Drosophila melanogaster: one gene and its partner. The protein of the gene in region 1 purifies or fractionates together with the protein of each later gene. This does not show direct contact. Each region holds a gene or a part of one and is shown on either strand. Other genes may lie near its edges.

Region 1 (8,160 bases):
GCAGCTGCTGGAACAGTGACAACGACATCGCCGCAGCATTTCTTCCATCATCATCATCCGCCGGCTCATCCGCATCCGCCCCGCCAGCAGCCGCATCCGCATAGCCACTCGCATCCGCATCCGCATCCGCAACTCCAGCGCCGCCCGGTGGAGCAGCTGCATCTGCTGCATAGCCACCACGATGTCCAGGAGCTGTCCGGACAGGAGCATCCACATCCGCAACCCGGCTCGCATCCGCATCCGCACCATCTGCGCTCGCCCAGCTCCGAGGAGGATAATTCGCCCACAGAAATGAATAATTGCCGTCGTTTGGTGGATAAGCCGCCGCTGGTAAGTTCTGCGAGGGTTCACTGTAAGAAATGGTAGTCATATTTTAAAAAGCTGTCGGAAAAATATAAGAAAGCCCTTTATATTGTAGGGTAACACTTCTATATATATTATGCAAAAGGAAATAATAACTCTGAATGGCAGGTCATAATGTATGCCCACTGATTTTTTTCAATACATAACTTATTCTCATTTTTTGCCGATTCCGCTAGTTAATATTAACTATTAGCCAATGTATTGAAAACAGAGACGGATTTTGCGATGCCAGTCGAGGGAGCAATCATTTTTTTTTTTGTTTTGCTTTGTTGCCAGGCTCCTTTGTTGGCCATTTCTCATTGCTCGCAAATTACTTTGCACAGAGCATAAATCTGCTTACGCTGATGATTTGCCAGGAAACAAGAGCTGGTGGGGGAATTTGAAAGGAATTACCTATTGGAGGAGCATCGGCTGGGGATGCACTTAGTGAAAGAAATGCCAGGTAGCGGCGGAAAAGGAAAACTTCAGATCGAGACAGCATTTACGAAATGCAAAAAGCGAGGAAAATGAGGGAAAATTCGTTCAATTCATGTTGCCTAGCTTAAATTCTCTATTTAGTTGTTTTAATTGCATAAACCTTAAATCACTTGTGTGAAATTGCGCTGCTTGAATCGAACTCGAAAGCGACAGGAGTAGGCACTTCAGGTGGAAATTGTTTTTGCCACCAAAACTGCAGCCGAAAAGGAGTTCATTAAATTAATTTGCACAAATGCAAATTTTCGAGTAACGCCACTTTGGCACGCGCCACTAACAAAGGTGCACTAGCTGCACACGACGAAAATGCAGAACAAATGGGAGGACACTGAGAGAAATAATTTAATATTACCCAAAAAGAAAATCCAGAAATATTTGAATGTAAAACATTACTAGCATTTTTTAAAAGATTTTCATGGATTTTAGCAAATTTATATAGTATATTTCAGATATTAAATTTCGCAAGAAATTTGTCACTTGACATGCGAGCATAATTCACTTGTAAAGAGCAGTCCTAAATGTGTTTAACTAAAGTTTAAAGTATTTGCAATTAAACTGCATTTTACTGTCAATTTAAATTTAGTTGAGTAGGGCATACTTAGCACTTTTAAATGCCAATTAAATGAGCAGTAACTCAATTGCCGTCCATAATCCTAAAGCGAGCATAGTTAGCTAACTAATTGCTTTCTTTTGTCGGCAACAACTTGGACCGAAACCCCGTTACCATTCATTCATAACTTTCTACTTAAACCATTTCATGGCAGGGCGTTGAATGCTTCCCATTTTGCCGTAGTGCAGTTTGAAGTTGGATAACACGAGTCCTGGTGAACAATGCAGGATGCCATGGCAAATGGCAGGCAAATGGCGTTAACTTACTGACTTTATGACACATAAATCGCAGCAACAGCGCCAAATGCAACCGACAGCCACGTGTTTTTAGGCCTAGGGAAAGGACGTGGAAAGGAATCCTTGCCAACAGGACAATGGAGCAACTTTTCTCTGGCGCCGCCTGAAAGTAGGCAACGTGCAAAAGTTTCGAACAGATAACAAGGCAAGGAGAAAATGCAAGAAAATCAAATGGCAGATGGGAGCATCGCTGCTGCGAATGCTGCTTAGACACGTCTATTGTGCCATTGTCTGGGAAAATACCTTGGAAAAGTCCAGCCCGCCTCCGCCCCATCTGCATTCTTTACGTTCGGGATTTTGCTGTGGCACTTCTGGAGCTCGAGTCCTTCGCGTTTTGCATTGCATAATGCGCTGCTGTTCCCTTCCGATTGCCATTAGCATAATGGGGGCATTAGGTTGGCACGATGCTCTGATTGCATACTTAACGACAGTGCCAAGTGCCGTCGATGCGCCAATTTAATTAGCTGCAATTGAAGCAACGAGCCTGAATCGAGCGAAAATCCTCAATTTAACTGGCCGCATACTGGCCAAGTAAATCGGCACTCATCTCCATAAAATCAACATAATTATCGCAAGTTAAGACCAAAATAAGCAAGTCCAATTTACGCTTAGACTGCTAATTACGCAACGCAATGGGAAACGATTTAAAAGCTGCAAAATGAAAACCCAAAGGCAGTAGCACAAACTTTTCGTTCGGGGCTCGAACTCATTTCAAAGTAATTTGCCGCAAAAGCCAGTGGTTGCCATAGTGGGCGTACTGTGGCCAAGGGGGCGTGGCAAGCGCTGTTTAACATTTTATTGGTAACCAAAAATTTTACACATCAATCTCGGTTGTTTTCTGTGTGGTGTGGTGGGGGGGGGGGGGGAATTGGAAGTGTGTGGCACGACGTTGTTGTGGTTCTGGCCGTGAGAGCTAAAGTGTGTTTGATGTTTGTTGGATTTTCCGGGCGGAAGCCGGAGCAGGGGTTAAGCTGTGGGGGGTGGCGCCACAAATCCCTGAATGAATACACACCTGCACCGATACTGACGGTCAGGCGAGAGTTGTCCCGAAATCGCCATTATAGCAATGCAAAAACTTTGCCAAATTGGCAGACAACATGCAACATGCAAATCGTACCACTAGCAATGGATGCACTGAAAACAAAAAGTAGTAAATGTTATTAATATTACATCACACTTTACTTAAGTTGCATAACAATTCAAAAATAACTGCATACTAAACAATGGGAATGTAATAATGGGAATGTATTAATACTTATAATTACTTTCTGTGCACTCCTATCCCTTCACAGGTGAAACGCCTGACCATGGGCATTGGACTGCTGCGGGGAACCGAGGACAGCCGCCCCCTGATGCACAGCACCTGCGGCTCCTCGCTGACCTCCGGATCCGGCTGTGGATCCACTCAGACCATCTCCGATGGCTATGTGAACGAGGCCATCTGCGAGCCGGACAAGTACGTGGCCAGCAAGTTCGGCGACTCCTGCCGCCAGTCACTGTCCGCACTGGAGAGTGCCACCCAGCGGCTGCAGGTGGAGCTGCCCGCCGCCAGCAAAAAGTATCTGAGAGAGACGTGCAGCGGTAGGTAGACTCTTATGTCACAGATATGAAATGGTTGGCTAAGGTTACCTTACTTCCGTGTAATTATCAGCCAACTCCAGTCCGAAATTGTTTCCCGGCCACAGTGCCCTGCGCCTGGATAATCTCAGCCTAGCCGAGCAGCAGGAGCTTAAGGGAGCCGCCTGGTTTCAAGCGGGCATTCCCAGGGAAATATCCCTGGAGGCCCTGTCCCGACAGAGTCCAGGTGCGTTTCTAGTGCGCCAGAGCAGCACAAAGCCGGGATGTTTCGCCCTCTCGCTGCGAGTGCCACCACCTTCACCACGAGTGGCCCACTATCTGATCCTGCGGACGCAAAGGGGCTACAAGATAAAGGTAAGTCCGAGCACATTATATATAATATTTATTATATATTATGATGGTATTTACCATTTTAGGGCTTCACCAAGGAGTTCAGTTCGCTGAAGGCGCTGATCACGCACCACTCGGTGATGCCGGAACTGTTGCCCGTGCCGCTGACCCTGCCACGCCCACCTAGTACCCGATCGCAACGATCGCAGGGCGCCTACGCAGGCGGAACCGGAAACGGGGGAGCGGACTTCGAGATGTATGGCTCGCTGAACGACTTTCGCAAAATGATGGCCGATTTGAATGTGTGACCGCTGGGCGCTCTTAATTAATTAAGTAATTATGTCACGTTGATTGAATTAAGCTGCCCAGCTTGTCACATTGTCCTGCGTCCTGTGTCCTCTGTCGCGACAGGATAACAATCTGTTTAATTTGCGTAATTGGCTGTGCTGACGACGGTTGACGTGGCTACCAATAAATAGGGTCCATGTCCATGTGTACTCGGGCCGGCAAAGGCCCACCTGTCCGACAGGTGCTGCAAAAAGTGCACAAACATTTTTTATTAAAATTGATAATAAAATCAGCTACGTGGGCGGCTGCGATGGCTGTGGTTTCGCAGGGGCGTGTTTGCATACACAAATATAGGGAATACGCTCAAATCATTTTTGCGAAACTGATTAAAAAATGGCAAAAACATGCAATATGTATACGCAAACAGACATCAAGTGATTATTATTTTTCGCGTTTTTATCAATTCTGCTCGTTTTGTACGGCTAGTGCTGAGTGGCAGATGCATCAGACAGACGTACTATACATATCTGAATGGGGGCAGTCGGATTAAATGTTAATGTTTGGGTAGGGAAATCGAGGGTCGGCTGCCGGGATTTGGAGTGCGGATGCGGAATGGGCAAAGTGGATTCTTTTTGTATTTGATGCACTCACTTTGCGGTGCAGTGGCTAGATAGACTTATATGGGAAGTAAATGAATAACCAATTATATTGTAACTCTATGTATTTTGTAATAAAGTTAATGGAAAACCTTTTCAAATAGTATTGTTTATTTTCTGATCTATAGCATGCAATATACATACAATCACGTTGAAAATGAAGCATTGGCTTAAAGGTAGAACATTTTATAATATTTAACAACAAATTTGTTTTGAAATAATGTGAGTGGGTAAGGAAAGTTTAAATTTCCCGCACATTATCGATAGCTCTTTCGATAGAATCGGTCGGCAATCGGCTCGCAAACTCGCTAGAGAACTGTTAACCAACTGTCATAGTTTGAGTTCACGCTACGCTCCATTCTAAAAGTTATCAATATCTCGAAATAAATAAACTGTGGGTTATAGCAGGCTTTGTTTTATTATTTGCAATTAGGAACAGTGCAAAGATAACAAAGATGTACTAACAATTGGTCAATAGGCGCAGAAGCGACCCTGAAATTGGAGTGTGACCTCGCTAATAGCCAGATGCGGCGGGGAATTCGCCAAGCCCGCAACACTGTACCCTGAAGGCCAGCTGCCGCCGCTTCCCGCGCATTTTCTTCGACCCAGGTAGGTCGCATTGGGATTCGCTTGCATTTGGTGTTTTCACTCGCCTCCAAACCGCCGTAGCAACACCATCTAGACAACGTGGAACTCCCGCTGAACCAGAGACCGGCATTATTTCCATTGTGAGTGTGAGCAGAACTAAGCTGCATCACCGGCGTCCCTAACCTTATATATATTTCTTACACACACACACAAACGCACTATTTCCAGTTTCGGTGACAAAAAATTGTGAAAATACAAGCTAAAATGCCGCGCAGAAAGGCCCTGACTAATAACAACAATGCCGGCGAAGCGGAGCAGCAGCCACCGAAGGCGAAGCGCGCCAGAATCGCTTTTCATCTGGAGCTGCCCAAGCGGAGGACCGTGCTCGGCAACGTGCTAGTCTGCGGCAACGGCGATGTGGGCCAACTTGGTCTCGGCGAGGACATACTGGAGCGCAAGCGTCTCAGCCCTGTGGCGGGCATCCCGGATGCCGTGGACATATCCGCCGGTGGCATGCACAACCTGGTGCTGACCAAGTCAGGGGACATTTACTCATTCGGTTGCAATGACGAAGGTGCTCTAGGCCGTGACACCAGCGAGGATGGCAGCGAGTCAAAGCCGGATCTTATCGATTTGCCCGGCAAGGCTCTGTGCATTTCGGCGGGAGACTCGCATTCCGCTTGTCTGCTGGAGGATGGCCGTGTCTTCGCTTGGGGCTCGTTCCGGGACTCTCATGGCAACATGGGCCTCACCATCGATGGTAACAAGCGTACGCCCATCGATCTGATGGAGGGCACTGTCTGTTGTAGCATCGCGTCCGGCGCCGATCATTTGGTCATCCTGACCACTGCCGGAAAGGTCTTTACCGTGGGCTGCGCTGAGCAGGGACAACTCGGCCGGCTGTCGGAGCGTTCCATCTCCGGAGAGGGTAAGTCTTGGCATTCAAATTTTCAACGAAATTCGTATTAAAAAAATGTTAACCCCCAGGTCGTCGTGGCAAACGCGACTTGCTGCGGCCCACCCAGCTCATCATCACGCGGGCCAAACCTTTTGAGGCCATCTGGGCCACCAACTACTGCACATTCATGCGCGAGTCACAGACACAGGTCATCTGGGCCACAGGGCTTAACAACTTCAAGCAGCTGGCCCACGAGACAAAGGGCAAGGAGTTCGCACTGACGCCCATCAAGACGGAACTCAAAGATATCCGACATATTGCCGGCGGTCAGCACCATACTGTCATCCTGACAACGGACCTTAAGTGTTCCGTAGTGGGTCGTCCGGAGTACGGTCGGCTTGGTCTGGGCGATGTCAAGGATGTTGTGGAGAAGCCAACGATTGTAAAGAAGCTGACCGAAAAGATTGTGTCCGTTGGATGTGGCGAAGTCTGTTCCTATGCCGTTACAATTGATGGCAAACTGTATTCCTGGGGCTCCGGTGTCAACAATCAACTAGGCGTTGGCGACGGCGATGATGAGCTCGAACCGATCGTGGTTGTCAGCAAGAACACGCAGGGGAAGCACATGCTGCTCGCATCTGGCGGTGGTCAGCACGCAATCTTTTTGGTCAAAGCGGACAAACAGGACCAGAAGGAGAATGTTCCAGTGAAGGTGTCTGGCAGCAGCAGCATCAGTAAAAAGGACAAGACCCCGCCGCAGGATAATGTCGACAAGGAAGCCGAGAATGTAGATAAGCAGGAGCAGAAGGAAAACTTGCCGGCGAAGGCGTCAACCAGCAGCAAAAAGAACAAGACGCCGCCGCAGGATAATGCCGACAAGGAAGCCGAGAATGTAGATAAGCAGGAGCAGAAGGAAAACTTGCCGGCGAAGGCGTCAACCAGCAGCAAAAAGATTAAGACGCCGCCGCAGGATGATGCCGCCGAGGAGGTCGAAGAGGAGTCTGCTCAGGAACCGACTCCCAAGAAGGCCAAGAAGCCTGCTGCCAAGCGGGGCGGTAAAAAGACATAAGATTGAGTATAAATACGCTGACTTTCCCACTTTGTTTTTGGTAACACTAAGTTACGAACCCGTACGCTTACCCTACGCTTAAGGAAGGCAATGAGTAGCCCAGATTCGTAAGATAGATCGGAAATTTTGCTTATTGTACGTTAAGATCTACGAACTGAATCCTGTTAAGTTCTTTTTATTTTGATAAATAGATGCCCGCTTATATCTTACAAGTCTGCCTAAAGACGAAAACTTCTTTATCAATCCAACTAAGTGTTTATTATATATATTCGTTCGCAATACGAAGCCGTAGTAAATTTGTATTTGAACGCAAAAGGAAACTAAATGAGATTTATTTACAAACTAATTAACTTGATTATATCATACACAAAGATATACATCCTACTCACAGTGTATTATAAATTCTTGGCTCAGGCGGGGCAAATGGGAGATTACCGGCAAAAAAGCTACAAAAGATTGGGAGATTGTCTCGTAAGCGCGAGACATCATTTACTCAATAATATCAGGAAACACGAAATTGTTACTCTTATGGTAGGTCTTAAGATTTATACAAAAATATGTATTTGCTTGGAGGGTGGTTCGATTTGCAATGAAGGGAAACATCTTAAAATTACCTTTAAAAGCAAAGGTGTCTAAACAATTCGCAGGACCCGGGAATTCATGAATGCAAGCCATTGAAGTATGTAAGAAGGCTTTAATATTTGTAGTTTTCATACCTGGCAAGGGTCAAAATGGATTATTACGTGTACAGAGGTGAACAAGTTGCATTTACTGCTGAACAAATCGAACCACCCTGGCATGCACAGTTGAGGGTTTTGGCTTCACTACGAGTAGTAACACGGCTGACGATTGCCTCTGCCTGAGTCGACTGTGGCTAGGGAGGTGGTTATGGTAGTGGTGGTGGAGTTTCCGCCGTAGTTGCTTCCCAGGTAGAAGCTCACGAACAAGATGCCGCACAGCAGCGATAGCGAAAGAACGACGCGCACCATCTTCCTTGCGAATGCGATGAA
Region 2 (7,636 bases), on another chromosome or scaffold:
AGGAGCGACTCTCCCAGGTGATGGGACTGGGTCCCCGGAAGGCCAAGAAGCTGTACAAAACGTTGCAGGAACCGTTCCTCAGCAAATAGCAATCCATATTAGGTGTAATGCATCCCATAATCGTGTATGACACACTTCATCCATCATTTGAATACTTTAATTTTTTATTACGCAGACACTGTACAAAAATTAAGTTCCAGAATTACCCACTTAAATATATCAAACAATAATCCTTATGTTACTCGGTCACTTTCCAAATTTTAATGGTGCCATCATCGCTGCATGATATCAGTTGCCCGGCCACCACAGGATTCCACTGCACCGAGTTTACGTCCTGATCGTGAGCGCCTTCCTCCGCGGTTATCTGCTCGAACGTGGGTTCGTCTGGCTTGGAGTCGCTGCTCTCCTTAAAGATACGAATGCCGTCGTCGCCACAGGCAGTCGCTATCAGACCTGTAAGCTTGCACCAGGACACGTCGTAGATAGCCCGCGAGTGCTGCCCGGACACTGTGCACACGCACTTCCACACGGTTTGCTGGTCGGGCGTAGCCACTCCGGCTGTATTTCCGGGATGGTAGGCCCTCCAAATCTTTATTGTGGTGTCATCGCTACAGGAAACCAGGCGCTCGCCATCAGCATCGAAGTCAATGCCCCAAACCGTGCTTGTGTGTGAAGTAAGAGTGGCTGTGCAATCCCAGTCGTTGTCTATGGGCTCCTCTGCGAACATTTTTATGGTATTGTCGTACGAGGCGGAGGCCAAAATGTCCTTGGTTGGATGCCACACCACTCTCTTCACGTCCTGTGTGTGCGGGTTCAAAACGGCGGCGCACTCGAACTCATCATCGCCGGCAACCTCCCAGATCCACACGGACTTGTCCCGCGAACAGGTGGCCAGTAGTCCGCCGGATCGCGACCAGCTAACGCTCTTCACCTCGTTTTCGTGACCCTCCAATGTTGCGTTGCATTCGAATTCTCCCGAGGATTTCGACCAGATCGCCGTGGTGGCATCAAAGCTGGCCGAGGCCAAGTACTGACCGCATGGAGACCATCGGATCTCGCGAATAGTGCGCTTGTGGCCATCGGATAGGATGGTCTTTGTGCTCCAAGTGTTCCCGGTCAGCGACCAAATGCGGATGGCTTTGTCCTCGCCGCACGAGGCGAATACGTTGCCCTTAGGATGCCATGCCACTCCCCAGATGCGCCCCTTGTGGCCCTGCAGCGTGTGTTCCAGAATTAAACGTCCCATTGATGGTCAAGTGCTGTATTAGTGGACAAATCACTGTCTGTCCAAATAATGATAACATAAGCGCATGTCGCAAGAAGAAGAAAGTCAGCTGTCGTCAGTGTGGTCAAACGTCGGCAGAAGTCGTTCATCTAGCTTAATTTGTAAATCGGGATAAAATTAAATTTTAAAATTGTGTTCTTCATATCTAAGCAAAGCGATATTGCTTTGCAATAATAAAAAAATGCAATAAATTTGAAAATTCATATATTATAAATTATAAATTAATTTGATCAGGAAACTTATTACAGTTCAATACTTAGTAACTCAACTAAAAGCAATTTCAATTGGCAATTCGGATAAAAAAAGTCGAACGTATACTAGGCTTTTAATATATAATTCTGGCTTGAAAAGCGTTGAATTGCTCAGAGCTGAATCGCTCTAGTGTTGTTAAATGCTGACTTGAAGTCTTCACCTTTTCTTATCAGAACACACACCGAATTCCGTTACCCAGCACCAGTGACACTGGTGAAAGTTTTGTTGTGTATTTGGTGTTTTGCCAATGCTGATAAGAAAATGAACGGACTGATTGTGTTTAACAGCGCCAACGATGTTGTATACCAGAAGCTTAACGAGCCGCTGGCGCAGAAGATCCGGAGTGTGGCCACCACCCAGGGCCTGCTCCAGTCCGGCGGCTCCCTGGACAGCAACATACTGCTGCAGATTTTCAGCCCCATCGTTGGATCTCAGCGAATAATGCAGTGCCAGTTCGATAATGCCTACTCCAGCCTGCAGTGTGAGCAAGGCTTCAATTTGGTGTTCGGCGAACTTCTTGGCTTCACCTTTCTGAAGATCGGACAAATACCCGTGGAGCTGCTGGGTCGCCAAATGGGTGTGGCCATTACGCTGACGCGCTATTGTTACGGCGCCAATTTGTTTGCCGCCCAGGCGGGGGCCATGCAACAGGAGTTGCTGACGCAGTGCCTCGACTGCTATGAGACTTTGTTGTGGGAGGAGGATCAGACGTACCTGCTGGAGGCCATGCCCAGGCTGCTGATCAACACGGAACTAAAGAGGACAGTGCATCTGACGCTGGACGCCACGCTTGAGCACTTGCGCCAGCTCGGACTGCCCCGAGCCCACGCCCTGTTGCTCGTTTCCAACAAGCTGGTGGCCGCGAACAGCACTCGGCAAGCTCTGCCGCTTGCTGCCGCCGACCTACTCTTCCTCAGCCTCATGTCACGCGCCCTGCAAGCGCCAAAGTCCCCTTCCCAGCGAGCAGTAGCTGTATTCCTGCAGGGTGTCTCCTATGATGTGAACTCTGGCTGCGTTCCCAGTATCGTGCACATCTCGCGTCTCCATGGTAACCAAGTTCTCCTGCAGGTCATCGAGTACGCCCACATGCCACTGACCAGCTGCATCTACGATTCCTTCTTTGTGCTTCAAAAAATCGTGGCTGTTCAGCATCAGGGCGATTCGGATGCCCTGAAGCCCGCCTTCGAGAACCTCGAATCGTTTATTGTGCAGGCCTTGACCGCTTTGAAGCGATATCTGAAACAGCGATCGGAAACCGATGACCTAGAGAACTGCACGAAGAAGTTCGCCGCTAAATGGGAGAATCTTCGCAAGATGTACACTGAGTACTTCAAGAACTTTGAGCGGGAGCTGCTCGTGAGGATTGAGTCGAATTTGCCCTCGTTCGGAGAGGAACTGAAGCAGATATTCACACTGGCCTGCTGCGACAGCTCAAGTGTCCATGAGCTGGATCAACTCTCTGATACGGCAGCGAATGTGGAAGCCAAGCTACTGGAGTTCGCTGAATTTCTGGCCGTTAAGGCCACTCGTAACATATCCATTGATGCTTATTTGGAGGATTTTCCGGGTCTGGTGCACTTTATGTACGTCAATCGCAGCCGAGGACAAATGCTTGCTCCGGATCTGCGACCGAACCAGCTGGTGCCAAAGACAAAACTCTGGAGCATGGTGGAGATCGCGAGAAATTACCTTAAGAAGGGCCAGACCACAGTGATGTGGAAGGATAAGGCATTCCATTACTCGTACTTCCTCTGGTTCGAGGACATGTCTGGTGGCGTTCTTAGTACCGTCGTGGATTTGCAGCACCACTTTCTGTCCACAGGAGCAGCCAGTGGCAACGGTTCGAAATCCCCAACAGAACCAGGTGCTCTTACAATGGACTATTACCACGATCTGGCGGAGTTGTGCTTCCCCAAGCTGTCACCGGCCAAAGTGCGCGTCTACGAGTTGTATTGCATTCATCTGGGACTGGTAACCGCCACATGCGCCGTGGAGCATGCACGTCGCCTGGTGGCCACCATCAGTGATGTTGTGGGCGAGGAAGCGTTTTAAGTGCATTGGCCATTGGTCATTCCAGATTTATAACATGATTTCTAGTCAATTTTCGAGACTCCTAGGCGAGATAATCCACTCGAAATTTTGTTAGGTTTAGGACAACTATCATCCACTGTTATAGGCTACACAACAAGGATATTTGTAAAGTTATTGGAAACATATATATTTTCTTCAACCGGCAATAAAAATGTAACAATAAATGTGTGTTTACTCTGTTTCAGGCTGTTGCGCCTTTTTGAGTTCCTCCAGCTTCTCCAGGAAGAAAGATTTTCGTGCTGTTAGCGGCATGGACTTTTGCCGAATCATATAGTTTTCGTTGCCCAGTGCAGTGTAAACGTCATTTCCAATCAGCTCCCTCAGCGCGATGTTCTTCTTTAGATGTTTGTCGTAAAAGCTAGCTCCAGCTGCCACAAGTTGGGGACCCATCGTGGCCAGTCGCTGGTCAATCTCTGCGTCCGTAGAGACCTGATTGTAGTCTTTCATGAAGGACCAGAGCCCTAAGCCAAACAGACCCAGAATGCTGTAGAGCACAAACCGCACCTGGTAGTTGAAAAACGGAAATCAGTAAAAAATTTTAAAAGTGAGAGAGGTTGAAAACTCACGCTTCCATGGCGGGCGAAGAGATCTAGCCGCAGGTTGAGGTAGTGACCCATGGTGTAAACCATAAGAAAGCTGACGCTGGGAAAGATGGAGTTGAGCAGTACCCGATGGGTTTGCATCTGCAGAACAGCCTTGCTAAGACCGAAAATCTGTTCATCCTCATTCAAAACGATGGCTTCCTCTAGCAGTTTTCCGCTGGGAGAACTCCAGTTGATCTGTTTGTCTCTAAACCGAATGTCTGCCCGCTTAATCTCCTCCAGACTGTCGTATCCATAGTTCACCGGTATGCCCAAAGCGCCTCCAAATCGAAACTTAGTGGTGCCCGCCTGGAAAACATCGAATCCAAAGACGGTGAAGGGCTTCACAAACTTTCGCTCAAAGGGCGTCACGCCCAGCTGATCCAATGCCTTTTCCAGGCGCTGCTGCACTGCCTCCGGCACTGGACGCCCCACGCCGTGTCTATGAAAAGAAGTGGGATGTTAGAATCGCTTCCAGTCACCAAAAGTTTTCTCACCCACTGGTAGCATTGCACGAAATCGCGGTAATATTTCAGGCCGAATGTGTGCGGCAGGAAGTTTCCAAGAAAGAGGCCCACTGTGGTGGCTCCCGCCGCGTAGAATACGAGTTTTCGGCCCTTTTCAGTCTTAAAATAGGAGAAGAACCCTCCACCGGTTTTTAATTTCGGCAACATTTCAGCACTTATTGTTTTGTAACAGGGCCAGTGTGACCATGACTAGCTATTGAAAGTAGCCAACACTAAGGAACCATTTGCGGTTATAACAAACCGAATATCGGTTTTAGAAAAAATATTTGAGCTAATGGAAATAGACGACCAGATACCCCTTACTTTAATATAAGGAGTTAAATTTCAATCTGAAGCAAATTTAATAAATTCAAAAACATTCGTTTGATCTTGTTTATAAAGAACAAATAAATTTTATATGTTTGAAAGTAAGAACCTTCAGGTAGAAGATACAAATGATCTTTATGTATATATTTTCAGGCCGTTTCTTGTTACAAAAACTATACAACTTTACTTAAGCTTAGAAGTTAACCTAACTGCTGGCCGCGCTCTGTAACTTAACGTCGAGTACAACTACTTGGTTTTTTGCCTCCTTGAGTCGCCACCAGCGACCCAGGCGGTGCTCCTGTCCGGTGGCCACAAACAGCTTGCTGCCATCGGCATTGAAAGCCAGTCCGTTGATGAAGCCGGCGATGGATATGCTCTGGATTAGGTTCATTTTACGCGCGTTGGGATTAGTCTGCCAAAGACGGACGCAACCGTCACAAGAACCTAGAATCATGAATATTTAATTACAGTTCGCAGTAAGAAATATGCGCAATTCCCACCTGTTGCCACTAAATCCGTGTTGACCACCACAGCAATGGCGGTTATCCAGTTGGCCACGCCATTCTCGCCCACTCCGTGCGCCAGTTGCGTTGTACAAATGGGCTTCTTTTTCAAAGCGCTCCATAAACCGATTGCTCTGTAAAATGGTGTTGTTACTTCCATACTGAATTAGTTAGCCAGACTCCCAACTTACCCATCCATGCCACCAGACACAAAATGCTCATCGTTGATGTACTTAACGCACTCAATGCTATCTTTGTGTCCATTGTAGATCAGCTGCGATTCCTCTGTGATCTTCCAAATGCGCAAGGAGCAATCCGAACCGCCAGCGGTAATGGCGCGCTCTCGACTCAGTGCATCTATGCTAGTTACTGCCGTTTGGTGACCGAATCTGAAAGGAGGAGCTCGTTAAATGTCTGATATTAAGGGGGATTAACTAGCATAGTACTCACAAACTCTCCACATAGGCCATCTCATCCAGGGACCAGATTTTCACCGATCGATCCTTGGCTGCCGAGTACAAGTCATGTGTGCCTTTGCGAAAGACCAGACCTGCCACACTATCCCGGTGGCCTTTAAGAGTCTTAATGTGCTTCATCGTCTGGGGACACCAAATTTGAATGTGTGGACCACCTTCGGCCAAGGCCAGATACTTCATGTCCGAGGACAGGCATATGCTGATGACATGCGATCGCCTTTTCTTGCCCGTTTCTGGTTCCTCGCGATGCGACAGCACGTCCGATTTCTCCAGCACCTTCCCCGTTTCCGTGCACCACTTAAGTAGGAATTGCGATTTGGCTCCCGTGTAGAGGAATTTACCATCCGGACTGAGTGCAAGGGCACAGATAGGCGTGTGGTGGAGTTTGTGCTTGAGGATGCGGCTCGATTCGCAGGCTTTCAGGCTGCCAGCAATGTTCCGGCGCAGTTTGCCCACGCTATCCAAGTATTCCGTTTGCAAGCGCTGCTCCACGCTTTGGGCCAGCTCCCGATCCTCGGCGCGTTCCGCCTCTTGCTTCTCGATCTCCGACAGATACTGTTTGGCCAGACGCAGGCGCTTGTCCTGCGGCGTTTCCTCCTCGCCCTCGTCGGATGAAAATGCCAAGGTGTTGTCATCGCCGCCCAGATCGCTGTTGTACTCCTCATCGTCGCTAGCTATCTCCTCGTCCTCCTCCTTGGGACGGCGCTGCTTCTTTGGCACTGGTCCACCAGCCGCGGGCGTTGATTTACCCGGTTTTCCGCCTTTCTTAAGCGGTTTTCCTTTTGTTGTTGCTGCGGGATTCTGTTGAAAGCGTTACAGGTGCCGCTCTCTACGCTGCTTGATTCACTTACCTTGCGCTTCTTGGTGCCCTTGGCGCCTGGCTTGAGGAAGAAAGAGGACGACATCGTGGAAAGTAACTAGTTGCGCGGCTTTAATTCAATATTTTTGATAAAAAACTTAATTTAAACGAAGGAACGTCTCCACGTGCATATAAGGCGCGTGTCCAAATTTAGTACTTTTGTGGTATCAGCTGTTTGGCGAGTGCACATCAACAGGCTGAATGCTATGAAACTGCGAGTCAACACGGCCACCCTAAAATTGGCGCAAAAATTATACGCAAGGCAGAATATTTAAATTATTAAAATTAAACCAAGTAAATTGAAAATCGAAAAAACAGCTTCAAATAAAAAAACCACGGTTTATAGCTTGAATATATATCTTTATTTGTTATATTTCGATTATTAATCAACTAACAACTAAAAATCATAATTAAATCAATTAAGTATGTGCTTTTGAATTCATTTTGTTTATTGTTTCCTCCAATGGGCATAAAAAAATTACATATTAGTTAAGCTTGTTGTTGGTGGTCAAAGTAATGTGTTTGGCTTGCTAGTGCTATAAATTTATCACAAATTTATGTTATTCTGCAAGTGGTTTTTATTCTTCTTTTCGGTAATAATTTATGTATACGAATGTGAGCGCGCCGCATCGAAAAGGATTTGAATACCTACAGATCGCGGCGAGGCGTCGCTCTCCGGCGGAGAACGTTCCGTTGGCTATCTAAAACTAAGTAACGTGTAAAAGTAATCGTAGTAAAAACGTATTAGGAATATCG

What was found.
Region 2: the proteins of Rcc1 (region 1) and HPS1 purify together in Drosophila melanogaster (affinity purification with mass spectrometry, with the first as the bait; one large-scale study listed by BioGRID). This does not show direct contact.

What each region holds. Positions count from the first base shown.
Region 1 is NT_037436.4:5,929,569-5,937,728, reverse strand, and holds Rcc1 (regulator of chromosome condensation 1), read left to right. Parts: upstream 1-4,955; 5' UTR 4,956-5,323; intron 5,324-5,411; 5' UTR 5,412-5,447; coding exon 5,448-6,111; intron 6,112-6,170; coding exon 6,171-7,150; 3' UTR 7,151-7,467; downstream 7,468-8,160. Other genes in the region: Egfrap (EGFR adaptor protein), read left to right, coding at 1-330, 3,036-3,324, 3,395-3,675, 3,738-3,959. UniProt on the Drosophila melanogaster protein: Promotes the exchange of Ran-bound GDP by GTP. Involved in the regulation of onset of chromosome condensation in the S phase. Binds to chromatin.
Region 2 is NT_033778.4:14,853,714-14,861,349, forward strand, and holds HPS1 (Hermansky-Pudlak syndrome 1), read left to right. Parts: upstream 1-1,715; 5' UTR 1,716-1,798; coding exon 1,799-3,589; 3' UTR 3,590-3,789; downstream 3,790-7,636. Other genes in the region: Ercc1, read left to right, coding at 1-89; Ciao1, read right to left, coding at 239-1,246; CG33506 (uncharacterized protein), read right to left, coding at 3,800-4,132, 4,195-4,651, 4,711-4,883; U3-55K (U3 small nuclear riboprotein factor 55K), read right to left, coding at 5,248-5,486, 5,543-5,679, 5,737-5,934, 5,996-6,822, 6,873-6,926.